Linked DNA regions of Saccharomyces cerevisiae S288C. Changing the gene in region 2 together with the main gene of any one other region gives a genetic interaction. Each region holds a gene or a part of one and is shown on either strand. Other genes may lie near its edges. The genes, in order: NET1, IGO1 and ZDS2.

Region 1 (11,538 bases), on a different chromosome or scaffold from region 2:
GTTTTGCGGTGGTTGATGTGCCTTCTTTTAGTTGAGTGTAGATCGAGGAAGTTGGCTGATGCATGGCAGACCCGTCTTGTTGGCTGGTAGTTGAACGACCGTTGCTACCAGTAGTTGTTCTTGCACCTAGGCTTGTGCTGGAGGGCTTGGCATACAGTGTAGCAACAGTCTGTTGGTAGGTTGTTGTTGTGGAAGAGGTGCCTTCGTTTGAGGTGGATTTGACAGAAGTGGGCTCGTTTGGCTTTTCAGATGTGGCGAAATCGCTAGCGAGAGAAGATGTTTCTCCGGGGTTAATGATAGTTGCGGCGTTGACTTCAGTGTAGATACTAGAAAAGGCAGTGTCATCATTTTCTAGACAAGTGGTTGTAGTTGAAGGGAAAGAAGAAGCTGGAACCACCGTGTTGGTTTTCATAGGCGATGTGGTTAGCTCACTGGTTTGGGTTGAGGCGCCGTTCAAAGTGCTACAAGATGTCGAGATTGTTCTAGTGAAGGCCGTCTCATCTGTAGAAGAAGCAGCGGAGGTAGGGAAATTACTATCCGTACTACAAGAAGCTGTGATGGTGTTTGTGATCAGATTGCTTTCAGTGGTGGTGGCAGTGGAGATGGCGAAGCTAGGACTATCGGAATAATCGCTCTCGGAAGTGCAGGTAGAGACTAACTGTGTGGTGTTGCTTGAGACACTAATACTGGTGGTTGTGCGTAAGCTATCTAAAGATGCGCCTGTGGAAGAAGATCCATATGTAGAGGTGTGTTTAGCATTGTCGGTTGGACTAGCTGAGTTGTCGGTAGGGTCCAATGTGGGATCTATGGTTACTGCGGTAGCTGCCCTTGTGGAGTTGTTAGCAGTAGTGGCCAAGGTTGTAGTACTCTTAGTAATGGCTGTGATGGTTGTGGTACTCGAATTTTCTAAAGTTGTGGTCTTCACGATACTAGAGCAATTTGTAGCAGGCACAGATGTGGCAAGCGCAGAGGATTGCTCGGATGTAATGGCGTATTCGGCAGCGTATGTTACACCGTGTCCTGACACAGAAGCACTGTTGGAGTAAATGCTACTCGATGTGGCGGCACTGTTACTAATATTCTTCTCTGTTGAACTTGAAGCCTGAGCAGTTTCCGAAGTGATACTTTCTGAGGCGGTTACTGAAGTGGTGGCGGTGTCCTTTGTGGTATGGGCTGTGCTACTAACTGAGGTTACAGATACGTCGGTGTTGACGGCTATAACGGAATTCAGAACAGATTGCGACACAGCTGAGGAAGAGACGGCCCCGGAAGAACTTCTGGAAGATGACCCAAGTCTCGTTGCATATTGGGCAGCATTAGTTGCACTAGTTACTATACTAGTATGTTCGGAAACTGAGCTTGTGGCCTCCTTGGAAGTGCTACCCTGAATATCGTCAGCAGCTACAGATGATGATAATGAGGCGCTTACAGAAGAGGTTGTTTGAGCAGAAAACACAGTTGTGTTTGCAAACTTAACAGAATTAACTGAATTGGAAGTTACACTTCTGGAGCTTGCGGTGGAAGTAGTAAGAGTACTACTCAAAGGAGCAGAAACCATTGATGAAGAGCTCGAGATGGCGCTGCTAGAAGAAGCGGCGTTCTCGGTACTCGCGCTGGAGGAAGCGGCAGCGGAACTTGAGGCAGGATCAGAAGAAGAAGCAGCAGCAGTGCTCGAGGTAGGGTCGGAAGAAGTGGTACTGGACGATGTAGCAACCGATGAGGTGGTGGTAGTGGATGAAGTAGCATCACTAGAGACGACGGTACTCGAGGAGGTAGCATAGGAAGTAGTGACAGAAGAGCTTGAGGCTGATGAGACAGTGGAGGATCCAACTGATTCTGTGCTACTAGTAATTACGGTAGAAGAGGACGCAGTGAGGGTAGCGGTCTTGGCAGGGTTTATGGTCGTCGATTTTAAAGAACTGCTGCTAGCCGCAGACGATACCGTTGTTGTATACCCTTGCGCTACAGCGGGCATAATACTGGATGAGATGGTGGAGACTGTGTCTGATGTAGTTGAGGTAGAAGAGGACGAGGATGAGGACGAGGAAACAGTGCTTATAAGTGGTTCCACTTCCTCTGCAAACTCACCCAGGTAGTTTCCAGGAGGGTTGTAGGAGCACACAATATAATTGTTCCATGTCGTACCACAATATTTATAACCACATCCAATCTCGGCGGTTGACTTCCAAACCACCTGTGTGAAGTGACCCGTGGATTCAGAAAATCCGGGATTTGAATAATTATACTTGCTTATCTCCCCGTACCAGGCGTCCACCGCTCCCGTGTCTGTGTAACCAAGGGCAAGGTTCTCACCATATGGGCCATCGGAATGCGTTAAGACACCCGAACAATCATATTGGTCGGCGTAGTTCTGCGCATAGGTGGCCAGAGTGTCGGACCAGGTGAGCGGCGCTGTGTCAACATGTAGCGCTCTGAACTTGTTATGCTCGTTCAGCACATCGCTCTCGAAGTTTGGAAACGTGGTTTGTGCCTTGACGGCTACTAGGCATCCTAGCAGAACTGATATTGGAAACTCCAGCATAAGCGTTTTCGTTTTAAGTTGTTTTAAGTTGTTTGGAGTTGCAGGGGTGCAGCAATTATAATTTTATGCCGATATTGGTTTGGCAACTACCGAAAAGCAAGAAGCTAAAAACTTTGAAGTATAGAATATGTTTTAGAGAATTCTTCGACCGAGTTGAAACATGAGAACTGTTTCATCGGCCCTATATAGCAATTACATCCTTCCGTTGCTGGGTCCCTGCCTAGATACCATATTTGTTGTTGAATTAACCGCGGGAACCCGCAATATACGAAAGACGAACACAAGAGAGCAAGCACACACAGCTAGTGCGTAGCGTTGCTAGCTATATTGCCATGGTACCTACCTTTCACCTCCTTGTTAAATCCATAAGTGGACGGTTTTCCTAAACCAGTATTTATCAGTTCTCGAGCACGCAGAGAAAAGTAAACGAAGCGACCTGCATTGCGGTAACTATAAACACCCAGCCGCCTCCAGCAGAACCAGCCATGTGCGAAGAAAAACAATTTTTCGGCCAAACTTACCAACAATAGCGACGCGTTCCTCACATCGTTGGGTTTTTTTCGCCTCTCTTCAAGTTTCCTATACCCGAGCTTAACACAACACAACGGACCCTCTTAATTAGAGGTATCCTCCGTTCTTTTCTTCCGCTTTCCTAATCGAGATACCAGAGCACGGAACAGGACCCTAGTGCATCGGAGAGGAGATCCGTGGCACGCTCACTGCGCCTTTCACTATCACCGATTTCGTAATTCGAACAGGAGTATTTCGCTGCAGGGGAATTACTGTTTGTAGACGAGGGAAAGCAATTATCAGATACATGCCAGGGATAGCGTTCAAGGGGAAAGACATGGTTAAGGCAATACAGTTTTTAGAAATAGTCGTTCCTTGCCACTGTACGACCTGAACTTTACTCAACGAAAAAAAAATTGGAAAAAAAATAGTGCATAACGTTGCTATTAACAGATGTAGTACTGATATGTCCCTGATTGGTGAAGAGTCAGAATGATATAAGCCTATTTGATATGTACGTGTACGTATTCGAAAATAAGATTTGTTTCTCGTAGGGAGCGATATGTGCATTATGTTACCCGTTCCACATGTTTTGAACTTTTTTTCTTTTTCATGGTAAGCGTCAATAATCAATTTGAATAACTAGTGAAGAGTAGCTAGCACGATGAAATAAGTGCCGGAGCTGATCGAATCCCTAGTCTCGGTTCGCCTGAAACAGAGAGAAGTCGATTACTGTACACCGTGCCTCCTTCTATGTACAAGCTACAAGTGGTCTTGGTGCCTCCGAGTCTTCAGGCGACGATGCCAATACAGTTTGGCTACGGACCAACCATCGCCGAATCTTCTCAATTGTTGCCAAACAGAACTAATATGGCGCAAAGCGCCGGAGATGCCTCTTTGCAGTATGCTAATCTGAGATCTGCCAATGTGAGTTTCACGCCAAGCTATTTCAACCAGTCTAGGTTTAGGAAGTTTCTTTTGTTTACCAAGCCGACAAACACGCTGTTGAACTTGAGTGATGAAATCATCGATAAGTGTGAAAAAATGTACCCGAGTTTGCAAGAAGACATTGAAATTTTGAGTTTGCAAGATAACAGCGGTTGTGACCTTGATCCGGATTTTTTGGTAAAGGACGTTTTCAATGTAAATAATATCGTAAGAGTTATATTGAAGAATGAGATAGATCTGGACGATTCCGCACCAGTGTCACTTTATAAGTCGGTAAAACGATCCAAGTTGAACAACGGGTCGCCCCAGTCGGTGCAGCCGCAACAACAAATCCCGTCCTCTTCAGGTGTTCTTCGGATTGCCAAGAAGAGGCCACCTACAGGAACCACGACAACAACAACCATTCGTAGTGCCACTAATGGATCCATGAGGGTTTCTACCCCATTGGCTAGGCAAATTTATCCTCCACCTTCTTCGAAGATCGTCTCCAACAACTCAGATGACGAAGACGAAGACATTGGTGAAAGATCCTTTTTGCCGCCTCCAACGCAGCCTCAGTCACCTCCCATAAGAATTAGTTCGGGCATTGACGCAGGTAAAAAAATAAAATCAAGCATCGTCGAGGAAGATATCGTGTCCAGATCAGCAACCGTGGATCCAGATAAAACAAAGCAGCAACGTCTATTGTCCGGAACTCCTATAATGTCCACCATGACTCCAAACAGAGTTACTCTTACCGGTCAGAGAGTGGTTTCTGAACACGCACATAAAAACGAATTGGTTTTCTCTGCTTCAGCTTCTTCCTCTTCATTTGCTAATGGTGGCACAGCTGCTGTCACTGCTCAGGACATTAATAGGAAACCACCCGTAACCACTCCAAGAATAACATCAGGAATGTTGAAAATCCCCGAGCCAAGAATCTCAGAGATTGAAAAAGAGTTAAAAGAGGGACCTTCCAGTCCGGCCTCCATTTTACCCGCTAAAGCTGCAAAGATTCCAATGAAAAAACCTTACTTGGAAAATGGCGAGAACTACGAATCCGACGATAGCTCAAGTAGCGAAAACCAAGAAACTCCTGAAACAGAACCACATTCAAAGGCTTCCTTGCAACGTAGTCAAAGCTCCATCGCAGATAATAATGGCTCTCCGGTGAAAAATAGTCCTCTCGGTGATGCCATGCCACACAATGTGCATTTAGCAGAACTTCCCAAGGCAAGCAATACCTCGATCACCAAATCTTCAAATGGCGAATCCTGGGGAAAGCAACAAGAACATCAACCACCAAGAAAGAGTTCACTGGAAACTATAGTGGAAAAGAAATCTCAGGCGGAACCTTCCGGTATTGTGGAACCGAAAAGAATGACTAATTTCCTAGATGATAATCAGGTAAGAGAAAAAGAAGATACGAATGATAAACTTTTAGAAAAGGAAATTTTGCCGACAATTCCACATAATGATCAGCCAATACTTGCATCATCTGATAAGTCTAATGGGACGTTGAAATCACTAGCTGGGAAAGTTAGTTCAAACAACAACGCTTCAAAGGAAGATGGCACTATCATTAACGGCACCATTGAGGACGATGGCAATGATAATGATGAAGTTGATACTACGGTTCGTATTGTTCCTCAAGATTCAGATTCCTCTAGTTTCCCAAAGTCAGATCTTTTCAAAATGATCGAAGGTGATGATACAGATCTACCGCAATGGTTTAAGGGCAAAAATTCGAGAACTTCCGGTAATTCCAAAAATTCAAAGCCTTACACAACGGTTTTGAATAAAGACATAGACAATTCTAAGCCAGATCCAAGAAATATTTTGCCCCAGCGAACCCCAAGAAGTGCGGCTAAGAGGGCTGCCCAATTATTGGCAGGTGCCAAGAAAAACGAAGTCCCACAGAAAAGTACTGAAGATTCTAGTTCGGCAGCGTCCACAGACGATGAGTCAGAGAGTGGGATTGAAACAGATTTCTCATCAGACGATGATTTTAAAAGGAAAAATATGTCGGTGCCTAATAATGGGCCCAAAGACATTTCTTTACATTCTTTGAAAGGCAGTGTTGTTCCAGTGAAAGACTCAAAGATAATCAATAAAGAAGTTGATGAAGAAAGAAACGACAAAAGAGATAGTCAAAAAAAGTCAGCCGTGAGTGAATCTTCAGTAACAAATAGCAAAATAAGTGAACAAATGGCGAAAAGCTTTTATCCGAATTCAAACAAGAAGCAAAATGAAGCTACAAAGGTGGAAACTAAGCCAGCAACACAAGCATCGTCTTTTCCTGTTGTTGGTGGGTCTCCTTCTGTTGCTACTAAAGGAACTACCTCTTTCAATGAAGAAGGAAATCGTAAAAATGTTAAAACGAAGGCCAAGAATGAGTCTGCGCAGATTGATAGGCAGCAGAAGGAAACAACTTCTAGGGTTGCAGATTTGAAAAGCGCAAACATAGGAGGTGAAGACTTGAACAAGAAAGCAGAGGGGTCCAAGGAACCAGAAAAAGCATCTGCCAATATACAGGATGCTAACGATAAAAATAACTCGAAGGAAAAAGAAGACTCCAAAAGCAAACAGGTATCTCAGAAAAAGTTAAAAATGACAGATCACTTAAAAGAAGGCAATGTTCAGCTTCCTAAGCCCAGTGCAAATGATAAATTGAAGGATTTGAAGGCTAAATTTACTAATAGTAAAACACTCGTGCCACCTGGAATAATTTCTAATGAAAAAAATAATTCTAGTGCAAACGATGATGATTCTAGCTCCTCAGGTTCTTCCACAGAAGACGAGTCTAGTTCATCTTCCTCGTCTTCTGATGAGGAAACTTCAACATCCAGGAAGGCTAGAAGAGTTGTTGTAAATACACCAAGAGAACCAGTTAGATCTTCATCTAAGATTGAAGCCCCCTCTCCATCTGTTAACAAAAAAATCAATGCCACCCCTGATAAAATTCCAGTTACACAGCTAATGGACATGTCGTCTCCTCCGTCAGTTAAATCCAAGACCACCTCAAATCCGTCTAGTATACTTCATGACCTTCCAAGAAAAGTTCGTCCTTCTTTGAGTTCATTATCTGATCTTGTTTCAAGAGGCATCCCAGATGTAAAGGAAAAAACTTCTAAATCGAATGAGAAGTCACAAACAAAAGCCCCTTCAAGTAGTGATGATGAATCTAGCTCTGATTCTGACTCTAACTCCAGTTCGGACTCCGTATCGGATTCCAGTTCAGATTCTAAATCTGAGTCAGATTCTGATGACTCAGGGGATTCATCTGATGATGGAAAAAGTTTTATTAGTGCGAAATCCGCTAGTGCTGCTTTAGGTAAGAAGAAGAAGCCAAGTGGTGGATTTGCATCATTAATAAAAGATTTCAAGAAAAAATGATACCAGAAAGTCTCAGTAGAATACACGTCACAGAAAGCTAGTAAAAAAAAATAATCAAGCATATAAAAGTATTAATATATTAAAAAATCTTCATGTAAACCAATTCTTATTTACCTCTTTTCCCAGCAAGCGGGCAACTTCTTTAAGAAAAGTAATCTTTTTTGTACGTCGAATTATCAAAGCTTGGTTACTATATTTAACATTATTGTTTAGTAACAGTATCATCTTAAAAGAAAATTTTTTAAAATTCCAATATAGGAGACAATGGTAATAATTACATACAAATAGCTATTTATGTAAGCAAAACTGATATTTTTATATACAAATCGTTTCAAATATCTCTTAGACTTCAGCGAATTTATTGCTACCTCTAATGAATCCGATTGCTTCTTCTCTATTGACCTCAATAACCGTGGAAATCTTATTCTCGTACTTAACACGGAAAAATTTGTCTGCAACTTGCAACATATCTGTTCTGAACGTCGTACAAATAAACTGGGCATTTTTTGACAGTTCTTTTAGAAGTGTAGCGACTGCAGTTCTATACTGCTTGTCGAGTGCAGCATCAATTTCATCAAACAGATAGAAGGAAGCAGGGTCAACCATTTGGATTGCCAGAATCAAAGCAATGGCACATACAGTCTTCTGACCACCTGAGAGCTGTTCAACATGCAGTTGTTCGTTTTGTTTAGAATTGAAGGAAACAGAAATTGAAACACCTGTATACATAATTTCACTATCTTTACCGTTTTGGCTTTCATTGGATTCTGCATCCATGTCAACATCAATACTTTCATCATGGTCGTTAGCGTTATCATTCTTACGGTGAATAATCAACTTAGCAGTACCTCTGGGAACTAATCTTTCAAAAACAGCTTCAAAGTTTTCAGAAACCTTTTGGAAAGTAGAATCAACCGCGTTAACCTTTTGTTGTTTTAACTTAACAATTAGATCTTGAATTGAGTCTTTAGATTCATCCAGCTCTGAAGCTCTCTCCGCAAGGTCTTTGCGTCTTTCGTTAAACTTTTTGAAGTTTTCAAAAGCTCTCTTGTTTACATTCTTCAAACCAGAAATCTCTGTGTTCATATCATTCAGTCTTTGTAATAGCTGATCACTTGTGATGTCGCTAAAATCATTTACTAAAGCATCCTCTGGCAGAAGCCCAATTTCCCTAATCCTTTGCTGTAATTCTTCTCTTCTAGTAACCAAAGTTGTTTTCTTAATCATCGTTTTTTCAACACTTTTTTGGAAATTGTCAAGCTTCTTTAATAGTAATCGCTGTTGATTGTTTGCTTTTTCTAGCAGTTTCTTATTATTAGTTTCTTCAGCAATGAGACTTTCAATTTCTCTTTGAACGGTACCTAGTTCCAACACAGCGTTTTCATGCTGCTTTTCAACGCTTTCCTTCTCCAATTGTAATTCTTTCAACTCATCTTGTAGACCAAAAATAAATGCGTCACCTACTTCTGACATCTTGGATTCTAGATCATTTTCTTGTGGGATAAGTTTGGACTCCAATTCGGCATTCAACGAGTCAATGGTTGTAGTTATACCTTCTAGGGCGTCTGATGTAATATTTAGCTTATTGTGCGCTGCACTAATCTCCTTTGTTAAAGATTCTAATCTTTCCTTTTCTTCTTTTGAGAGTTCGCTATCAAACTCCTGAAGCAAATCATTTTCGAATGTATTTAGCTTTTCCTGAGCAAATGTACGATTTGTATTCAGCTTTTCTAGTTTTAGTATAATTGCGTTTAATGATTCTTCGAGAATTAATTTTTCATTCTTTTTGGTGTTTAGCGATGTTCTATATACCTCGATATTTGTTAAGACAGACTCCCTGTCATTAGAAACCTTTCTTATATTCCCGTTTACTTGATCAATCTTAGTATCAATATCATTTAGTTCATTTCTTACGAAATCTAATTCTTCCAGTATTTTTTTGTGTTGACTTCTTGATTCATTTAAGTTTTTCAATGATTCCAAACGTGTTCGTTTGTGCTGGTCAAGATACCCACCTGTAAGTACACCTCTTTTGTCTGCTCTATCACCATCTAAAGTGATGGCATTGAGTTTGTGTTTCTTAGCTAATTTTAAACCTTGACCTAAGTCTTTGACAACAATAGTTTTTCCAAAAACGTGTTTGACAGCCTTCTCAAACCTGGGTTCATATTTTATCTTCTTTATCAAGGGAGTAAACTGGATTTGTGTAGTAGTGTTTGAGGGGAATTTAACATCACTGTCCAAAGATAACCTGTTCAAGGGAATAAACGTCACTCTCCCACCCTTCATACGATATAGTTCGTTCATAATCAAAGTGGCCGTTTCTTCGGTATCCACGACAATGTGGAAGAGGGAGTTACCTCCAATTACTTCAGCACATGTCTTGTACTTATCATTGACTTTAATCAGTTCACCTAATGTCCCAAAGACAGATTCCGGTGATATTTTTAGTTTTTCTGTAATTTCTTTCACATTTATTATACCATTTGCCAATGATCTACTCATGGTTTCATTAACATTTCTTTGATTTTGATTGACGTCACTTAATAAAGTTTCCAAGACTGTCTGTAATTTTTGCTCCTTTCTCCACAATTCCTTACGAGTGTCTAAACTTTCACTCAGCTTCTGTTTGAGGTGTATTAATTCCGAATCAAAATCTTCTAATTGACCCTTGGTATCTGGTCCATTGATAGAATCAATTAGCTCTTCAATCTCTTCATCAATCGCAGAGTACTGCTTCCTTAAAGAAGTACGATCCATTTGCAATTGACTTTCCAGTTCATTTAAGTTTTGTATTGAAGATTTCAGTTCTTCAATTTCTGAATGAATCCACGTATCGCGTTCATCCTTTGATTTAAAACGGGCATATTCTCCTTTCTTTAAGATAAGATCTCTCTGCTTTTGTTGCAAGGAGGCCAATTGAAGTTTGTACATTGCTTCTTCCTTTGTGAGTTCTTGATATCTAGGTAAAATTTTAGACAACTTTTGTTTCCTTTGCTCAATTATAGATTTGATCTCTTTCAAAGTTGCACTATCCAAATTTCTCTGCTCCTCATTTGACTCAATTTGCTGTTGAACATCCTTTATTTTTACGTTGACGTTTGTTAATTTCTGAGAAATCTCAGATTCCCGTAGTTTTGCCTGTTGTAAATCAGTCGCATTTTTGATCTTCAGTGAAGCTTCAATACTTGATAGCTTTTTGGAGACTTGGTCAATCATATCCTCTCTTTTATCCAACTCCTGGATGTATTGTTCGGAAGAGTATACCGTGTTATTATAATCACCGTCCAGTCTTTCCATTTGATTGATAACCTCATTTAATTCTCGATCATACAATGTGAACTGGTAGATCTTTCTGTTGCGTTCCAACTCGTTGTATTTCTCTAATTCCTTACGTTCCTGTTCCATTTCACTCAATTTAGAGTTTAGTTCACCCATTTCCTTGTTAATTTGAATCTTTTTCTGCTCTGTTTCCTCCATTTTTTTCAATGAAGCTTTCAATTTTACTTCAAATGACTTAGCTCCTACAACATCTTCCAATAACTGCAATCTTTCCTTATCCTTGGCATTAGTTAAGGCGACTATTTTACCTTGTGGTACTATATTATACGGATTATTCATTGAAAAACCAGCGGTTTCCAACATTCTGACTATGTCCCCTTTGGTCACGTTTCTGTCATTTAATTGATAGTCATCCTTCTTCAGCCCTACTGTTCTTCTAATGGTCACTTCGTCATCTCCTCTCGAAAGTACACCGGAGGGCAATATCATAGAATGATCTGGATCGTGGAACACAATTTCTACCGAGGCACTCATCACTGAACCACCAGAACCTTGGTGGATAAGCCCTTGCCTTTCTTCCCTCTTAAGATTAGAGTAATCGTCACTAAGAACAAATCTAATCGCAGCGAAGAAATTCGATTTACCTGAACCATTGGAGCCAATAATAACATTCTGATGCGGCGAGAAATTATCAATAATGGTTTCGTTCCTGTAGGTTTTAAAACCCTTAATTATCACCCTTTTGATATACATTGCAGACGTGAACTATTACCGTTACTCCAGCAGGTCGTCTTGTAAAAAAATGGTGAAACTGTTTAAAGATGAGGTTGAAAACTCATCTTTAATTAGTTTAATCATTTCCTAACGCGTCGCGTCTTTTC
Region 2 (8,345 bases):
ACCGTAGGTACACCAGATTATATTGCTCCTGAGATATTTTTATACCAAGGTTATGGGCAAGAGTGTGATTGGTGGTCACTTGGAGCAATTATGTACGAGTGTCTGATTGGTTGGCCTCCATTCTGTTCCGAAACTCCACAGGAAACGTACAGAAAAATCATGAATTTTGAGCAAACTCTACAATTTCCTGATGATATTCATATCTCTTATGAAGCCGAAGATCTAATCCGTCGACTATTAACTCATGCAGACCAAAGACTTGGTAGACATGGTGGTGCAGATGAAATAAAAAGTCATCCATTTTTTCGCGGTGTTGATTGGAATACAATCAGACAAGTAGAAGCACCGTATATACCAAAGTTGAGCTCCATCACCGATACTAGGTTCTTCCCAACCGATGAGTTGGAGAATGTTCCAGATTCCCCAGCTATGGCACAAGCTGCCAAACAAAGGGAACAGATGACAAAGCAAGGTGGAAGTGCGCCAGTCAAGGAAGATTTACCTTTTATTGGCTACACTTACTCCAGATTTGACTATTTGACAAGAAAAAATGCGTTGTAGGGACGCGTTAAGGACATTCCTCTTTATTCAAGTATTTATCTATGGATGTAGAACGCACATTATGAATAAATAACTGCACTTTTTTCGGGAAAAAAATTACCAAAATAGACATCAGCTTTATCATATGTCTCCTTGAAGTATTTGAACGACCACCTTTCCGAAGACAATGTACCTAGTAACCTACAGGCTGCCCTTAATCCATACATCCACGCACAATAGCACAATCTCGGTGATGGCTGGTTTTTTTACCTTGAAAAACAAGAAAAATGGCTGATGTAGTTGAAAAAGGTAAAAGAGATGGCAGATCAGGGGACGATTTTGTAGAGGAAGTATCTATATATATCGACCATATTGAAAAAAATATGAAATAACATACACACGTGTAAGAATATATAATTTTTGTTATTAACACGTCGTAAAAGAGAAAAGATCGTGCTTTCATCACGCGCTTCCTCTCGGCCTTTCGAACTATAAATTATAAGATGATCCAGTCTTACAATACTGAATGAAACTCAGGGAAGACGATAGCGGAGGTTCGACAACCGATCACTGTAAAACCTACACTTTCAAGTTCATTAATCGTCGCTTGAAAGATCGTCATAACCAAATATTGCTAGAAACAAAAGCGTTCGGGATAGGTCAAACCATGATGAACTAGTTCCACACGCATATCTTAAAGCGTGCTATTTTTTAAAAAGGGCAAATTTAGGAATGTCTGACGGAATCCCTAATCATCTTTGGCTTTTCCCTTCACTCCCTTCTTTTACCGACGATGGTTTGAAGGAAAGAGAAAAATGAGCAATAGGAAAATTCAGTAGTCGATTTCCATTTCAATTCCCTATTGGGTAATGTGGCGGCGAGGGCTAAACATTCGGTATCATTGATTCAATGTTCTCACAATGTTCAAATTCTCGGATCGGGTATCCCTAATTGGGATCTCTTTCCAGAGGAAGGGGCCTTGATGTGGGATTGAAGACACATGAGTTTTTTTCTCACCGTCGAAACTTTTGCTTACCCGTAAAACATCGGCCATTCGTTGGTTTATTATGTGACTTTTTTGTGACTTTTTTTTTTGCGAAGTTTTCTCGTCATCCGCGGAAGATCCGGCGGGCGAAAAAGTCTCTCACTTTTACCCAATCGGGGCATGTTATGTGGACATGTTATGTGTCCAAGAGACACATGAGCCCAAAAAGGGTACACTGTCTAAATAGTTTACCCTTTACGAATCGAAACTTCTCGAAGAAGGGGCCGAAAATTAGCGCAGAAGTTGACGAAAGTTTATACTTTTCCTAATGGAGAGGCTCAGGAGCTGAAAAGGGATATATTCGTACTCTATTGCATCTTCAAACTCCGAAGAATCTCAGTAGGGAGTGAAGCCGGCTTCTCGATGCTACAGTTCAACATCGATACTTTGAAGAAAGAAAGCGCCTATTATATCTCTTTTACCCTATTAGTAATAATTAGGAAAAAGGGAGAAAAAAGTACCTCACTAAAAAAACCATCATCTCTGAAATATAAAAAGCTTGATAGAGGGTGACATTTGCTAGAACTTCTGCTGTGTTCTCTTGGGTTATTGCTCTTATTGAATATCCCTTCTATTTCTTTCTTGCTTGTAAAAAATCAGCTCAAAAAACATCTACAGGATTAATCGTCAGTTAAGTAATACAGTAATAGAAAATGAAGTTCCAAGTTGTTTTATCTGCCCTTTTGGCATGTTCATCTGCCGTCGTCGCAAGCCCAATCGAAAACCTATTCAAATACAGGGCTGTTAAGGCATCTCACAGTAAGAATATCAACTCCACTTTGCCGGCCTGGAATGGGTCTAACTCTAGCAATGTTACCTACGCTAATGGAACAAACAGTACTACCAATACTACTACTGCCGAAAGCAGTCAATTACAAATCATTGTAACAGGTGGTCAAGTACCAATCACCAACAGTTCTTTGACCCACACAAACTACACCAGATTATTCAACAGTTCTTCTGCTTTGAACATTACCGAATTGTACAATGTTGCCCGTGTTGTTAACGAAACGATCCAAGATAAGTCATCCGCCGGTGCCGTTGTTGTTGCCAACGCCAAATCTTTGGAAGCTGTCTCATTCTTCTTCTCTATCATTTTTGACACCGAAAAGCCTATTGTTGTCACTGAAGATTCCGCTTATGCCATTCCAGTCGCTAACAATAAGAACGCTACCAAACGTGGTGTCTTGTCCGTCACTTCTGACAAATTAGTGTACTCCGGTGTCTTCACTCCACCTACTGCTTGTTCTTACGGTGCTGGTTTGCCTGTTGCTATCGTTGATGACCAAGACGAAGTTAAATGGTTCTTCGATGCTTCTAAGCCAACTTTAATCTCTTCTGACTCGATTATCAGAAAGGAATACAGTAACTTCACTACTCCTTATGGTCTATTAGAAAACGGTGTTCCAATTGTTCCAATTGTCTATGACGGTGGTTACTCTTCCAGTTTGATTGACTCCTTGAGTTCTGCCGTTCAAGGTTTGGTTGTTGTTTCTTCTGGTTCTACCAACTCAACCTCATCTACTATTGAAAGCACTGAAATCCCAGTCGTATATGCTCAAGCTAACACTCCATTAAACTTTATTGACAACAAAGATGTTCCAAAGAACGCTGTGGGTGCTGGTTACCTATCCCCAATTAAGGCCCAAATCTTGTTGTCCATTGCTGCCGTTAATGGTGTCACCTCCAAGTCCGCTCTGGAAAGCATTTTCCCATGAACTGATAGATATTAAATCTAGCGAAGCATAGAGATTCTTTTTTTACCAGTCATCATAACCATTATTTTACAAAATTTCCACGCAACAGCTTTTATTTTCGTTCGTAATAGGAACCATACTTCCCATTAAAGCAGTATGATTGTTTTATACACCTTTTTATTGTTATTTAAGACATACCCCAAATAATTAATTAATTAATTGATGAAAGAATCATATAAATTCTTGGCCATACATATTTTTTTATTATCTTTTGCTACATTGACCATAGGTGAATATCTTCCCGGGGTGACACTCCACTGAAGTGGGAAAAAAAGAAAAGTTTTAAAACATTGCTCACCTTAAGTCTCGAAGGTCTAGCATTCACTACCTGTAAGTGTCAAGACCCCACATGTATACATGGATACAATAAAGAAACAATGTCCGTATAATTTGTATACATTTTACTACAGATAAGGGATCTCACCCCCTTCTTTTGTGTCTAAGTGAAATCTTCTGATATATTTAGTGTTTTATAGCGTCCATGTTTTAAACTAGAACGGCAAAATAGTAGTTGTTGTAAACGCTTATTTTCGAGACATCAGGTAAAAAGGATAGTTAAATCTTACAATCAATGCATGTAGTGAGTGGCGTTTATCAATAGTTTTTAACAATTCCCATTTTGAAAGAAGCCCACAACAACCCTAGTAGTTCGTTAATATACGTTATGATGGTCAAGTGTCACAGTACGGAAAGCTTGCAAACAGCTCTTACATAGAGGAGTTGCTTCAAAATAAACGTCCTCTGGTGTCAAGTGTCTCATACAGCGACCACATGCGAAAGAAACTACTACAGATAAGCAAATACACAAATTATAATCGTGGATTCATCATCAGAATACGCCTGGCCCTGTAATCCTTTGGCTCACCAACATTCGATGGACACCTTTATATCTTCTAATAACAGTGAATAATAGACACAATACGAAGAAAAACCCAGCGGTAACCATGTAAACGGTACCACTTACGCCATAAGCTAAATAGATCAGAATGGTAGAGACTTTGACAAATAGCTCGAAAGCTTTAGCGAACATTAGTCTTATCCAATTTAAGTTGGGTTCATTGCCATCTCTACTTTTCATAATATGTTTTATCACAGGTGAAGAGTAAAATACAATGATGTTATGAAACTTTCCAAGCAACCCTAATTTACCAGTATCCTTATATGCTATTAATGTCGTGCCACCAGAACCAAATATCTTGGCAAATTTCCAGTATCCCACGATTTCGATTATAAAATCATTCTCTGAAAAGGTCATTGAATTGAACCCGCTCCTTAATATGTTGTATACGGAAAATGGGAATAAAATTAGCCCAATAAAGTAATCTAAAATGAATAAATTTCTAAGAAAAGTTCTGAGAGGGCTCTGCTGCCTTGCTGTGAATGGGGAATCGGCCGTATTGGCGTTGGTGGCTCTTATAGTGTCTGCATTGATTCCTCCATTTCCGTTTGTGGTTGCATCCATATTAGCTGCTCTATTTATATTTGAAGTAGAACTCATATTCCTCCTAAGGGAGTTAAATATTCCATCGATTGCTTGCTGTACATCCTGCTGTAGTTCTTGCTGAGATTGCTCGGTTACAGGTGAAGGCTCTCTACTATGCCTCGTTTCCGATTCTTCTAGAAATCGCTGAAACAGATAATCATCATTATCGTCTCTTTCTGTCCAATTACTGCGGCGATGATTTTGAGGCCTCGCCATTTTTTCTCACTAAATGCTTGTGAGGATGTATGCGTTTGATTCGGTGTCTCTTTAATCATATTCCCGAATCGACCCTATTTGAAGGTAGAGGGAGTTGTTTCCTCTCACTATTGTTATAAAAGATCATCAATGACGGAAACTAATATGCAATGAAAAAATGAGAAGTTTACATGAATATGAAGATTAACTGCACAGCAATGTTGTTGACCCTTGGTATTCGCACACACTAAGCCAACATAGGTTCGTTCAATTTTTAAAAAGAAGATGGTCCGGCCTCAGAATGTTCACTGGTTTATCGCTACAATTGTATTTTTCATCGGATTTGTACACGCTAATACAGAATCAATCTTATATAAGGTTCCTCACAACTTTCCCCTCAAAAAACCAAGAGACAGCTCTACTTATGCAAGAGATGTAAACTTGATATCTTCCATATCACTATCGGGAGAAGCAATGAGTCAGATCACTATCGAGGCCAATACCACTGACTTGGAGTTGCATAATACTACGTATATTGAACTGGCGGACTTACAGCGAGACGAAACATATCAGATTAAAGTGTGTTGGTCAGCAATACATCCAATTTCCATTAATAATCTCCAAACTATCACAATACCACGTTTCACTGAATTTCAGGGAACTAAGTCAGACTACGCGAGAATACTAGTGACTTTCCAGGTCTTGTCTGACTCGTATCCTAGTGAGCATGCCATGGTTCCAATACAAGTCTCATTAATCACCACTCGGCTAGGTATCCCCGTGGATATTTACCCAACATTAATCGTTATGGTGCTATTAGTAGCAGGGCTTGTTGTTACCCGGGCACCACACGTATTGAACGATCTTTTGCTGAAATTTTAGTATGGAAGCCTGAGCCCCCTTTGGCTGGATAGCTTGGCCTCATCACAACTAGAACGTAAAAAAGTCCATTAACCATCAAATGCTTCTCATTAAAGTGGGTATTTTTATCGAAAGAAAGGGACCTGAATATCTAACTCGCCGCTATGTCGAATGAAAACTTATCTCCCAATAGTAGTAACCCAGATTTAACTAAACTGAATAACGGCGAAAGCGGAACTATTGATACCAGCAAATTCTCGCCCAACGAAATGAAGCTATACAAAATGTACGGAAAGCTGCCATCAAAGAAAGATATTTTTAAGCATACCATGCAGAAAAGAAAATATTTCGACAGTGGTGATTACGCTTTGCAGAAAGCTGGCATTCAAAACAATGATCCAATAAACTATGGAAAGAATAACCTGCCATTAACAAATCCCAGCAAACTACGAGAAGATATAATAAAAAGAAGGATAAGCACTTGTCCGTCAACTGCCTCAACCGCTGGTGTAGTAGATAATGCGACGTTGATACAAAAGGAGGGAAGTATATCGAGTGGACCACCATCGTCTAATAACGGTACTATTGGAGGTGGTAGTACAAGTTCAACGCCAGTGGGGAACCACAGCTCTTCGTCGTCCAGTTTGTATACTGAATCACCCATTAGATAAATAGACAACCTGTACTTTTTTATATTTTTTTAGGGAAAGAGAAGGGTCTCTTATATTTAACGCTTATTATGTGATTTCTCGAAATGTCAAGTGTTACAGCCATATGGCTGACTGTGTTTACGTTAATTAGTTATATATAAACGATAAGCCATTCTGATGTTATCTTCTTGTACTTCTAATTAATAATATTTACTCGTCAGAATTTCGACTTTAATGAGAATATAGATATCTTCCTAGTTTTCCAAACATTAGAGAACCAAGGAAATAAAAATCCATGAAATATAAAAATTGGGAACCGTCGATAATATCTTTGTAGCAAGAGATACAACAACCCACCCCAATGCAGATGCAGCTCATTAACATGGATATTGAGCCGTCAAAAAACAACCACAGTATAATATTCAGAAGCCCCCATGCCCCTGCCGCCTGCAAAGAGGAGTTCCACTGTATTTTCCTGATCCCAAATGTGACTCCCAACATGGCATTGATACTTCTAATAACAGAGGTCAAACTGTCATGGTGGACAGAGCTCTTAACAACCTCTGTTTGAAAAATATTATCCAGAATTGGTACAACAGAACCAAATAACAGTCCTTCAACACCGTAGCCTAACCAGTTTGGCAGAACCCCATTGGATAGCCAGTTACAAAGTTTGACACCCAGTAGAAGGGGTCTCGATGCAAAATCTGGATGTAAGAGATGATTATCGTGCAAGTTTCTGGACAGTTCATGATATGCGAAACCGCTCAATGACAAAATTAATACAGCTTGCAGGTAATGAAGAATATTTTGACGAGTTTGTCTGGTTCTTGACGGAAAGTTTTCGTGAATGGATGATGCTGATAAAATCCTTTCCAAATTATTAGAAGATACTGTGTTCCTTGGCAGCGAGCCGCCAACCTTATGGGCCAAGTAAAAAGTCGAATCAATAGTTTGATCTCTACTATATTTGGTAGAATCTATAGAGACAGAGCGTTTCAATTCTTCGTAAATTTCGTTATCTTCCGATCTCACGACGTCATCATCATATAATGAATAAAGCTGCGGTTTAGTCAGAGAGCAGATTGATTCGGTGCTCTTCTTTGGATCCGGTTCTCCTCTATTGGCCATTCTGTATGCTGTTTTCTTTGAGAAATACTTTGTCGTTTATCTTCGTCCTTGTCTTCTTTTTGGTCCTTTGTGTTTGAGTGCTTTCCAAACTTTTTCTTTACCTTTTGCACGCCAACTACTATGCCCTTTATTGCAAATAAAATAGGTACTACAATAAGCCCTATCATCAATGTTGAGCTGTCAACTAGAAGTTTAAGGAAAAGAACATCTCGAAGTTTAGTAATTTCCTTGCTTTCATATTTTAAATGTCTAGCTAATTTCGTATCTACCCTTTATCTCATGCCGATAAAAAGAAAAGTTCCCCCCTCGTGGCCAGCGACGTTCGTATATACATAAAACTGCCTCACCCTCCTTTCGGTGGCAAAAGCATGTTCTACAAATGAGTATAAAGATGTAATAAGAGCTTGTACAAGCAAGGACTCGAGCTAGGGCGGAAGTGTGACAACAGTGAGCTATAGGCACATTGTAGTGTACATCTACTGCAAGAGCTTGCATTAATTTTGATATAAAAAAAAGGACCATCAACTAATTTTTGCTATATTTAAGAATGTCGGCGGCTATCGAAAAAGAAACCGGAATGTTGGATGTAGGAAAGCACTGTGCATATTGTAGACAACTAGACTTCCTACCTTTCCATTGTTCGTTTTGCAATGAAGATTTCTGCTCGAACCATAGACTTAAGG
Region 3 (10,609 bases), on a different chromosome or scaffold from region 2:
GACAAAAAAAAAAGGAAATTTGTTCTATTTACTTTAAACTTTAATGCCCCAATGGATGGCACATATACCAAAAGTTAAACTTTCGTAGCCAGCAGATTTGAATCCTGCCTTCTCAATCATGGATTTGAACGTTTCTTGGTCAGGAAATCTTTCGATAGACTCCACCAAATACTGGTAAGAGTCGTAGTCATTAGCAATCATCGAGCCCATTACAGGTAGGACCTTAGCCCACTGTTGGTAAGCAAAGTCCATTAGGGGATTCTCAATTTTGGAAAATTCTAGACAATAAAAAATACCGCCCGGTTTCAAAACTCTATAAGCAGTGTTTAAACCCTTTTGAATATCGGTGAAATTTCTGATACCGAAGGAGACTGTGTAGATGTCCTTGGAATCAGAATCAATCTCCTCTAGTTTCTCACCATTAGAAACCAAAAATCTCACACGAGGATCCTTGAAATATTTTCCTTGTTCCATGGCTCTCTTCTCACCTTCTTTAAGCATGTCAGGGTTGATATCTACAATATCCATTGTAGACTCAGTGTCACCAAATTTCGACTCAGCATGGTCTAGTAATCCGAAAGCAATATCACCGGATCCCCCAGCCACATCTATGAAGTTCAAAGGAGTCGTAGAGTTTGGCCTTTTTCCCGCATCTAGTTTATTGATAAAATGGTCCTTCCACAATCTATGAATTCCTAATGACATAACATCATTCATCAAGTCATACCGATTGGCCACGGAAGAAAAGACATCACCAACTAACTTCTGCTTGGTAGACTTCAATACAGTCTTCGAACCAAAATGCGTATACTTCTGCTCTGGCTGTTCAGCTGCGGATGATAAAGGACTATTAACTTCTTCTTCTTTGCATGCTCTGTGAGCTTGCGTAAAACACCTAGATAATCTTAGCGGGACATTTACCAGCGAGCTTCGAACGATCCGTGAAGAAATCAACATTATATCTTTCTTGCTGCGATCTGTACTATTCCCTTTGCAATTGTAACAGCAGCTGTATAAGGAGTGAAGGTGGCAGATATCCTTATAGTTTCTTGTGTGATCCTTTTTTTTCCACTTTTTCAGTTTTTGTCAAATGCGGAAGCTAGTTTCCATATTAGGGAAGAGCAGGCAACAGGGCAGAATCCTATACGGAAAGACTTTCATTTAATGATACATTTGCCAAATAACTGTGTTCCAATATCGAGAACAGAACTATCGGATACCTTGATATTTGCTCAATGGTGTCACTTCCCGTTTTTGACATGTACTCTTCCCAATTCAGAAAAATTCTCGCACTTTTCCCACAGAGAAAACCGCAAAACTCAGAAATTTAGGCTGTGTATCGCCGATAGTATCACGGCCGGTTTATGCTTGATTTGGCTGCAAAATGGTCACATTGGACCTAGAAGTGGCCTTTTGTAGCTAATTATAAGTGCATGATTATTGTGACCAGTAACATTTGCTGACGCGTTGTGCGGGTAGCACACGCCGCGTCTTATTTTTGTTTTCATCTCATCTTCGTTAGATCATAATAATATGATTGAAAACTGGAGTAAAACGCTAAAGAACAGTGTCAAGGTTAGTAGTATCGTATACTTTACATTGATCACGTTTGCACTATAGACTGAATTTAAATTAGAATTTTATGGTACTGATGGAAGATATGCAAAACAAAGATGGCCATAATACTGTAGAAAACAGTAGTGGTGGTACGGACAGTAATAATAATATTCAAATGAGGCGAATGAGGAAGACACAGCTGTCCAAGAAGGAGCTTTTTGAGAAGAGGAAATCTGACGTGTTAATTGCTGCCAAGTCTTTAGATACAGAAATTCAGAATGTGAAAAATTTGAAGCGATTGTCGATTGGTTCAATGGATTTGGTAATTGACCCTGAGCTAGAGTTCAAAGTGAACAGTAGAAACTCATATTCTTCAGATTCCTCAAAGGAATCCCTTCAAGAATCGCTCCATGAAGAGAACATTATACGATCAGAACAAAAGGAAGAACAAGGGAGCGAAGACAATGATGCATATGAAGAGGGCGATGCTACTAATGTCGACGACAGTATAGATATCACTCAAACAGAGTATTTGCATGATGAAGAAACATTGGAGAAGGAAAAAATCATCCGTAATGCTTCTTCATCCACTTCATCTTCAGCAAGAGTAACGTCGAGGAACAGAAGGCTCAGTGGAGTAAAGACATTGGCTCACGATGTTGTATTGGATGTGGAGAACGACCACGATTCAAAAATGGTTGATTTAACTCAAAACCTTTTGTGGGTGCCCGCTGACCAACATCCTAACGTTAAGCCCGAAAACTATTTGGAATTGATCCAGGACACTTTACAAAACATTCAAATAAGCACAAATCAAGACATTGATGAAAACAAATTAGAACTGGGTAACAATCATGTAATTTCGAATAGAAAACGCACGGGCTCTGTAGTTAGAAGGCCTTCTCGGTTGAAGACATCTTATACCAAGTTTGATGACGAACCTCCCCTTGCAGACAAACCACAAGAAGGAGAAATACAAGTGGATAAGCGAATATCCTCATCTGACATCAAAACCATAAGATCTGTATCTTTGAAAGAAATTACTGAAGAGCTTACTAAGATTTCCAATAATGCCGGTTTAACGGACTCAGATGCGGTGACTTTAGCCAGAAGCTTGAGCATGTCAGGGTCATTTACCAACGAAAGTCTTCATTTGAACGGCAATCACACTGAAAATGATAACGAATTTGCATCAAATATGTTTAATGAAACTGGACTTACCATACCAGAGAGATCTTCTCTAAGGAGGTCTAAATTCAACACATATAAGATCAGACTAGAGGGTAGTAGCCTTCCACAGGCGGTAAAACTCAATAGCCTAATGAATATACAAACTAATGACAATCGCAGAAGTGCATCATCGCCTGCCTCCTACACACAAGTGCCTCAGGAGCAAGCATCATTGAATGATTTTCACGAGATTTTCGACCATTACAGAAGAACAAGTACTGATTGGAGTACCGAAAATGAGAAATACGTTGATAGCACCAACTACTATTCGGATGAAGAAGATTTGACACATGCATCTATTTCTCAAGAGAGCAGTCTTTTATCTACAGATAGTTCTAACAACAGCGTTTTAATAAAGCCGCATAACACTGGTTCGATGATTTCTGAAAAATTGGATCAGCACGTTAGCTCGAGTGAAAAATCAAATACCAATAACAGCGAAGCAAATCATGGCTGGTCATGGTTGAATTCTAGCAATGGAAGTTTGAACGCTAATGAACAAACTTATCAACAGCTTACAGATGATGAAGACGATGAAGAATGTGTGGACAATGAAAAAGCTGACTTTGTTAACTTGAGTGTATCGAGGAGAGCGAAATCTACCAAACGTGCCTCTGAAAGAATAAACCATTCCAAAAATAGACATTCGCCAATTTTCCAGATACATTCTGAAGAAGCAAAATCCGTGGTAATCACTCCTTCAGTCGTTTCTTCATCTGAATCCCAGCCATCTAAGCCTACTGCACCGGCAGTCGTGGAGAAAAAGGTAGAACTGCCTACTGACACCCAAGCCAGTACACATAAGAAAAATTCCTTGGAGAAAAGGCTTGCCAAATTATTCAAAAGAAAACAACATAATGGTACCTGCAAATCAGATGTGAAAGTAATCAAAAAAAGTGTTAAAAAAGAACTGAAAAAGAAGGCTTCGCATTCGAGTTTATCAAAATTCAGGAAAAGTCCCAAGAAAAAGCCCCAAGAAGCGGAAGTTGAACGCCCTTCATCCCCCACCAAAACAATTACCACCGAAGATATAGATACAGCAAGCGTCATTGAACCAGAAGTGAGAAGTTCAAATGCTTCCACCCTTCTTCCTGACAGCCATACTAGCCACAGTTCTGAATTTGTGGTGGAAACTATAAGCGAGTTAGATGGCGACGATTCATTTGATATTAGTGGTGGTGATGTAAACTACGACGTCGAAGTGCACTCTAGTATCAGTAGAGATACGACAGCTGGACTAGAAGAGGATATAGGAGCAGAGAGAGAAGACAACACTTCACCTACTGCCCCTCAAATCTCAACTTTGCCTCCAAGAAAATTGACATTTGAAGATGTCGTTAAACCAGATTACTCAAACGCTCCAATAAAATTCACAGACAGTGCTTTTGGATTCCCATTACCAATGATAACCAACTCTACAGTGATTATGTTTGACCATCGTCTAGGAATTAATGTTGAAAGGGCTATTTACAGACTCAGCCATCTGAAGCTTAGCGATCCCGGGAGGGAATTAAGACAACAAGTATTGCTAAGTAACTTCATGTACTCCTACTTGAATTTAGTCAATCATACCTTATACATGGAGCAGGTGGGCACTGGAGATATAGCCTTCAATGGTGATTCTGCCTTGGGAATGATGGACAAAAATGATTCTGATGGCACAATCTTAATTCCAGACATTTAACTCATAACTGTTTACAAGATTGATAGATACCTATATAAGGCCACATATTTCAAGTATTGTAAGGATGCCCTTTTAGTGTCAAACTTCTTATTATCACGAAAAACGTCGTCTTTTCATGCAAGGAAGGACTACAGTATATACATATAAATATATATTTATGTAATTATTTTTTTCTTTTTTTTTAAATTTTCTAGCGAGAATGAAGAAAAGCCGACCTCATCTCATCCTATTTGGAACAAATTCGAATGATCTGTCCAATACAGCAAGGCTACCTTGCGGTTGAATTCTATCTCGTACTACACTAAGACGAAAGAGAAAAACGAAATGTCCAAGAGTAATACTTATAGGATGCTCGTCTTACTAGAAGACGACACCAAGATAAATAAAGAAGATGAAAAATTTTTGAAAGGTAAGCCGGGAAAAATGCATGAATTTGTTGACGAGTTGATACTTCCATTTAATGTTGACGAACTGGACGAATTAAATACCTGGTTTGATAAGTTCGATGCCGAAATATGTATACCGAACGAAGGTCATATCAAATACGAAATTAGTAGCGATGGTTTAATTGTACTTATGCTAGATAAGGAAATTGAAGAGGTTGTCGAAAAAGTAAAGAAATTTGTCGAAGAGAATAACTGAAATAATGATGTTGCTTCGGTTTTTTGCATGAATATAACGTGACTGTTGCGTATGCATATGTGCACGTAATTTAAAGAGAGAGTGACAGAATCTGCGCATCAGCATGGGGGCATATACAAGCATATGAGAATTTGGATAATGTATTACATCTAATTTATAAAGTTTGTAGAACAGCCTCTAATTTATTTAGTCTTTCTCCCACGCCCAATTTCGTTATTAGTTTGTCCTCCTTGCCGATTAACTCCAGCAACATTGTGGGCAACAACTCTTTGTTGTAATACCGACACCATAGAGCGTGTCCGTTAAATTCTGTATATTCTAACTTCTTCAGGGATGCTCGATGAAAGCAAGCCGTGCATTGAACCAGATCATCCTTCTGGAATTTCGTGTAGCCGAGAAGCAACAGACCTACGAGAGAATAGTCTTTACAATCGAAAAAAAATGCCAATTTTTGTATTTCTTTCTCAGACAAGTAATGAAATATACGGGAAGAGTTTCTTTTAAGGCTAAATTCATTTGATCCGGAAACAATTCTGTCAATTTCTGTATGAATTCTTTCAATTTCCCTTATAAGGTTTTGTGAGCTTAAATAATACTCTTTGTTTAAATCAACCTGATTTTCCCTCCACGGACACTTTTGGAGATGATTTCCAATTATATTGGAATTCCAGATTTTTTCATTCAATTTCATGGTGTAATCGGCGACATCATCGCCATTTTTTAATAAAGGAATTGTCATAATGGCATGGCAACAACAGCACTTAAATGGCACTTGCGACTGGGATGCACTTTGGTACGGCTCCCAGCCCTTGGATGCTAGAGTCAGTGGATTGACCCATCGAACGTCCCATTCAATGAGCACATGCCTTGTGTAGTTTTGAATGGAGCATATTCTTTTCAACAAGGCCCGAAGATCGTGTAATCGGAAACCAACAAAATGTTTAGAGCTTTCTTGTACCAAATCATCATACAATTGCACGTGGCTCTTACATTTTTCAGGCAACATTGAACTGCCATTATGGGATTTCTTCTTGTACCTCCATTTGGTAATAAGTCGCTCTCCTAGAGTATTCCTATATTTTCCCGGTAAAAGTTTGGTATTCTTGTCCAGCGAATGTCTAATAGACTTCAGTCTAACCTCCAATGCGTCCTTTTCCATTAGTAACTGCCCTACTTTCCTGTCAATTCCTGGGGAATAATGTTTTATTTCTCCTTTACCATAGATTTCAAGATGACAGTTACTTTCGTTCCGAATGACTAGCGCTTGAAAATTTTTCAAACATTTTCCATATTCAATAAGCAAAACAAAGAGCATTTTGATTTGATAACAATTGTTTGGTAGTTTGATCTCATCATCAATCAGAGGTTTTTAACAAATTTATTTTTTGAATACATTTCAAAAGGAAATTGCATTTTGTCTTTTTTTTTTTGGGAGAATTTTGTGGGGTATTTCAATCATTGTTCCAACTTTACGTTCCTTTTTTGAATAAAGACACTTCTTATTATTAACAGGCTTTTATTTGTCAAATAAGATTCATTCAAAATTTCCATAAAGCATTACTTCTGCGATATACTACTAACGGAATTTTGGTTGCGTATTATTGTGTCTGACATTGTATGAAGGATACACAAAAAAATTAAAGATTAAGAAAGTTATTCAAAATGCCTATTATGTTGGAAGACTACCAAAAGAACTTTCTAGAGTTGGCCATCGAATGCCAGGCTCTAAGATTTGGTTCATTCAAGTTGAAATCAGGTAGAGAATCGCCATATTTCTTTAATTTGGGATTGTTCAATACTGGTAAATTGCTTTCCAATTTGGCTACTGCGTATGCAATTGCCATCATACAATCTGATTTGAAATTTGATGTGATTTTCGGTCCTGCCTACAAAGGTATCCCACTTGCTGCTATTGTTTGTGTGAAATTGGCGGAGATTGGTGGCTCTAAATTTCAAAACATTCAGTACGCTTTTAACAGAAAGGAAGCCAAAGATCATGGTGAAGGTGGTATCATTGTCGGCTCTGCCCTAGAGAACAAGAGAATATTAATCATCGACGACGTCATGACTGCTGGTACTGCCATTAACGAGGCCTTTGAGATCATCAGTAACGCCAAGGGTCAGGTAGTTGGCTCCATAATTGCTCTTGATAGACAGGAAGTTGTGAGTACTGACGATAAAGAAGGACTCAGCGCCACTCAAACTGTTAGCAAAAAATACGGTATCCCAGTCTTGAGCATTGTCTCCTTAATTCACATAATTACCTATTTGGAAGGCAGAATAACAGCAGAAGAGAAAAGCAAGATCGAACAATACCTTCAAACCTACGGTGCCTCCGCTTAAAAATCAGTTTTTTAATTAAATGATTTATTTATCTCTTTTAAGAACTATTAATCTTAGTTACTACGATACATGCACGCCGCTCATCTATATATGTGTATAAATAGCGTATATTCACACACATATATATAGAGCGAGAGAGTTTTCTTGTTACTTTTTTCTGTGTTTCGGTACCTCTTGCCTGTAGCTGCTTCAAAACTCTTGGCTTATTGAACTCTGTTTCAACTACAGACGAAATAATACGAATAATTGATTTGTCTTGATGTAAAAATTTAAAAGCTGATACAACAAGTCATTTAGCACTTGATCTGAACAAACATCATATTCTTATAGTTCTGCTATTATAATCTATTAATATATTAATATATTAATCTCAATATACATATACATATACATAAATGGGTAAAGGAGACAATCATCTTCTAACTACTTTGTACTTATTTTTTGGTGGCTTGAACGACTTTTCTGCCGCTGTAATCTTAGGAGTTTCGTAAACAGATTTTGTCATTGGGTGGCCCATCAAGAACGGACTATGCAGCGGAACAATCTCATTCATTTTGAATCCCTTTACACGTGGAATCTTTTTGAATTCAATATTGTCGAAATCAGGGCCATATGGAATCTCCCTTAAAGATTCAATAGTAGTTGGATGTCTTTTCATATACTCCCCAACAGCTTTCATTAATTGCCTCTTTCCACCTTTGAATTTAGTGGCTGCGCCAATTAATTGTCCATTTTCTTTGAAAAGTACACGAATTCTACCAGGATTACCAAAATCTTGTGGGTGACATTTTTCACCTTCAAAAATGCATAATATTCCCAATTCACGGACAGCATCTGCCATAGTTTTAGCCAAAGGATTTTCAACAGCCAACTCCTTAGGAACCCTTCTCCCTTCCTTATGTGATCTGTTTATGTCAAAGTAACATGGATAGAGTACTTGGAATCTTTTGACTTCTTCTAAATCTTTCTTCGAAATAGCCTCCGAACGTTCAACCTTACCAGTTTTTGGGTTAATAAAACTCAACTGCTCTTTTTCGTTGCTACTATTGTTGTTGCTATTACTGTTGTTATTCGTGCCAGGTAAAAATGCAGGGTTCTCTTGGTCCTGGCTCCTTACAACCTTAGGCGTTATCTTGGGAGCGATCGGCGTCCTCAAAGATGGATCTAACTCGGCCAATTCCATATCAAGGTCGTCGATATCATTGAAATCGTCAATCTCTTCTAATCTAGGCATTTTGACTTTATGATACTATAGCTTATGGCTTATTTTATTTCTTTTGATTTCGTTAGTTGCTAGCCTGTTGAATATCATTGATATTTTTTTTTTTTTCAGATTACAAAAGCGTGAAAAATAAATACTTCCCAATTGTTTTAAGAAGAAGTACACAATTTTTAAAGCGGCTGAAGAAGTGTACCAATTTATTTGCTATTGTGACAATTACACTTTTTTTTTTAGATTGTTCGGTACTTAGTCAAGTTTTATTTTCAGTCATTACATATTATGTCCAATAAAATTGCATCAAGAGCTTCCAACAGTAAGCTGGCATTTAAATACGGATTCTGTAGCATGGCATGGACCCGGCCAGCAGCTTCATGAGAATCTCTTAGACCAACTACACGACCACAAGTGTCTGCGAAGAGTCTTTGCAAACTGGTTAAAGCGAGTTGTTCCGTCCGTAACCTTTCACCTTCGCTTCTTGTTGCCTCTGCCGTTTCATTTCTTTTTCTTTCGAACAGACCGTTATCACCCCATAGCATATTCTTGAATGTAACTATTGCTTCAAATACTTGATCCTCTGATCTCAATTTTTGAATGCTGACCTTTATATACTTTTCAATAGTGCTCCCAAGAAGCTGTTGTAAAACGGTAATTATAGCCCTTCCTCTTAACCAACCCGCGTTGGCCTTATTTAAAGCAAAGAGCGAAATAAATAAGTCACATATCTGTTTAACAAAAGATTTATTTTGCGAATAAAAAGGATAGCCAGAATCGGTGAAAAAATGTCTTTCATCTTCATAGAAATTCAATTCACCGCCGTCTTCAGAGCTTTGTAAATCAACAACAGAACTGCTATTACTTGTGCTATTACTACTACCAATAGGTTCATGAAGTGGCTCCTCCAGAATATCATCATGCATATATTCCTTGTTCAGTTTGAATGGGGTAGGATCTGTCAAAAATCTTCTGAAAATGTTATCTTCGCATATTTCAGAAATAGATAATAGTTCTCGCAAGTACTTTTCAAGTTTTTGCTTTCGTTCCTCATAAAGCAATGTTTTTGTAACATGATATTTCAATGACATTTTCACTTTTGACGGGAACAAATCTTGCAACTGCCTCATCAGATCCCTAAAATTCTTTTTCAAATATGTATTTAATTCAAAAAATTCATTATATCTCCTTGCCATATCCCAAGAACTTACCTGCCCATTGTTAAAATGATGGATATTGATGATATAATAAGTTATTTCTTTTAGGCCATTACTAGAATTCTCACTGAAGTACGACCTAATGTATATCTTAGTTTTTCTGAACAAACTATTACCATTTTCTTGTACCATATATTGCTGTTTCAACAGTTCCTTCATTTCTAGTTCCTTTAATAGGGTTCTTTGTGACTTTTTTAAAATTTTCAACTGCATTTGATTGTTGGTCAGATCTGCCTTCAAAATCAAATGCCTTAAAAGTTCAAGCTCTTTCTCAATCTGATCAATTGAAATAGTCAAGGATGCTATATTATCCCTAAAGTTGTTTGACCCATAAAATTGGCTAGGATTTAGGCCTGAATTCCCGCTGGAAACACTTACTTTCTCCATATTACGTGGGTGATCCAACTGATCCTCGACAACAGAAATTTCTGAGGTATTATCGTTTTCATCGTCGAAGAGTTTATCTTTGAAAATGTTGTCATTTTCTGAACCAAAGAGCTGAGAATAACGGGGATTTGAGCTTATTCTTGATTTATGCGGCTTGGATCCCGATCCATTCACTATATTATCTAAAGCATCTGTGATGCCGGGGTTTGCGAATATTCTGACAGGATTCATAAAATCAGTCTTCACATTATCTTTTATTATTTTGTTTTGTTCTGGATTGTTAACACCACCGATTCTACTCAGAAAGTGAGCATATATATCAGTCGAAATGATGTG

The links.
Region 1: of IGO1 (region 2) and NET1, changing one suppresses a phenotype caused by changing the other (phenotypic suppression), as found in Saccharomyces cerevisiae (one study listed by BioGRID).
Region 3: mutations in IGO1 (region 2) and ZDS2 impair growth when combined (synthetic growth defect), as found in Saccharomyces cerevisiae (one study listed by BioGRID).

What each region holds. Positions count from the first base shown.
Region 1 is NC_001142.9:291,440-302,977, forward strand, and holds NET1 (Net1p), read left to right. Parts: upstream 1-3,805; coding exon 3,806-7,375; downstream 7,376-11,538. Other genes in the region: PRY3 (Pry3p), read right to left, coding at 1-2,542; YJL077W-B (uncharacterized protein), read left to right, coding at 2,608-2,706; ICS3 (Ics3p), read right to left, coding at 3,227-3,622; YJL077W-A (uncharacterized protein), read left to right, coding at 3,360-3,446; APQ13 (Apq13p), read right to left, coding at 7,021-7,437; cohesin subunit SMC3, read right to left, coding at 7,718-11,410. UniProt on the Saccharomyces cerevisiae protein: Has a role in chromosome maintenance and is involved in mitotic exit. Inhibits the action of CDC14 by sequestering it in the nucleolus. Also binds to RNA polymerase I and stimulates rRNA synthesis.
Region 2 is NC_001146.8:334,307-342,651, forward strand, and holds IGO1 (phosphatase regulator), read left to right. Parts: upstream 1-6,045; coding exon 6,046-6,552; downstream 6,553-8,345. Other genes in the region: serine/threonine protein kinase CBK1, read left to right, coding at 1-561; YGP1 (Ygp1p), read left to right, coding at 2,239-3,303; ASI2 (Asi2p), read right to left, coding at 4,172-5,041; PGA1 (Pga1p), read left to right, coding at 5,306-5,902; NSG2 (Nsg2p), read right to left, coding at 6,763-7,662; YNL155C-A (uncharacterized protein), read right to left, coding at 7,605-7,829; CUZ1 (Cuz1p), read left to right, coding at 8,210-8,345. UniProt on the Saccharomyces cerevisiae protein: Required for TORC1 to properly control gene expression and chronological life span. Plays an essential role in initiation of the G0 program by preventing the degradation of specific nutrient-regulated mRNAs via the 5'-3' mRNA decay pathway.
Region 3 is NC_001145.3:49,998-60,606, forward strand, and holds ZDS2 (Zds2p), read left to right. Parts: upstream 1-1,642; coding exon 1,643-4,471; downstream 4,472-10,609. Other genes in the region: COQ5 (2-hexaprenyl-6-methoxy-1,4-benzoquinone methyltransferase), read right to left, coding at 34-957; YML108W (uncharacterized protein), read left to right, coding at 4,796-5,113; PML39 (Pml39p), read right to left, coding at 5,268-6,272; orotate phosphoribosyltransferase URA5, read left to right, coding at 6,776-7,456; RNA-binding signal recognition particle subunit SEC65, read right to left, coding at 7,869-8,690; MDM1 (Mdm1p), read right to left, coding at 8,942-10,609. UniProt on the Saccharomyces cerevisiae protein: Acts as a negative regulator of polarized growth via an alternative mechanism to ZDS1. In heat-stressed cells appears to play a role in localizing BCY1 to the cytoplasm. Seems to interact with, and down-regulate, CDC42. Also acts as a suppressor of PKC1.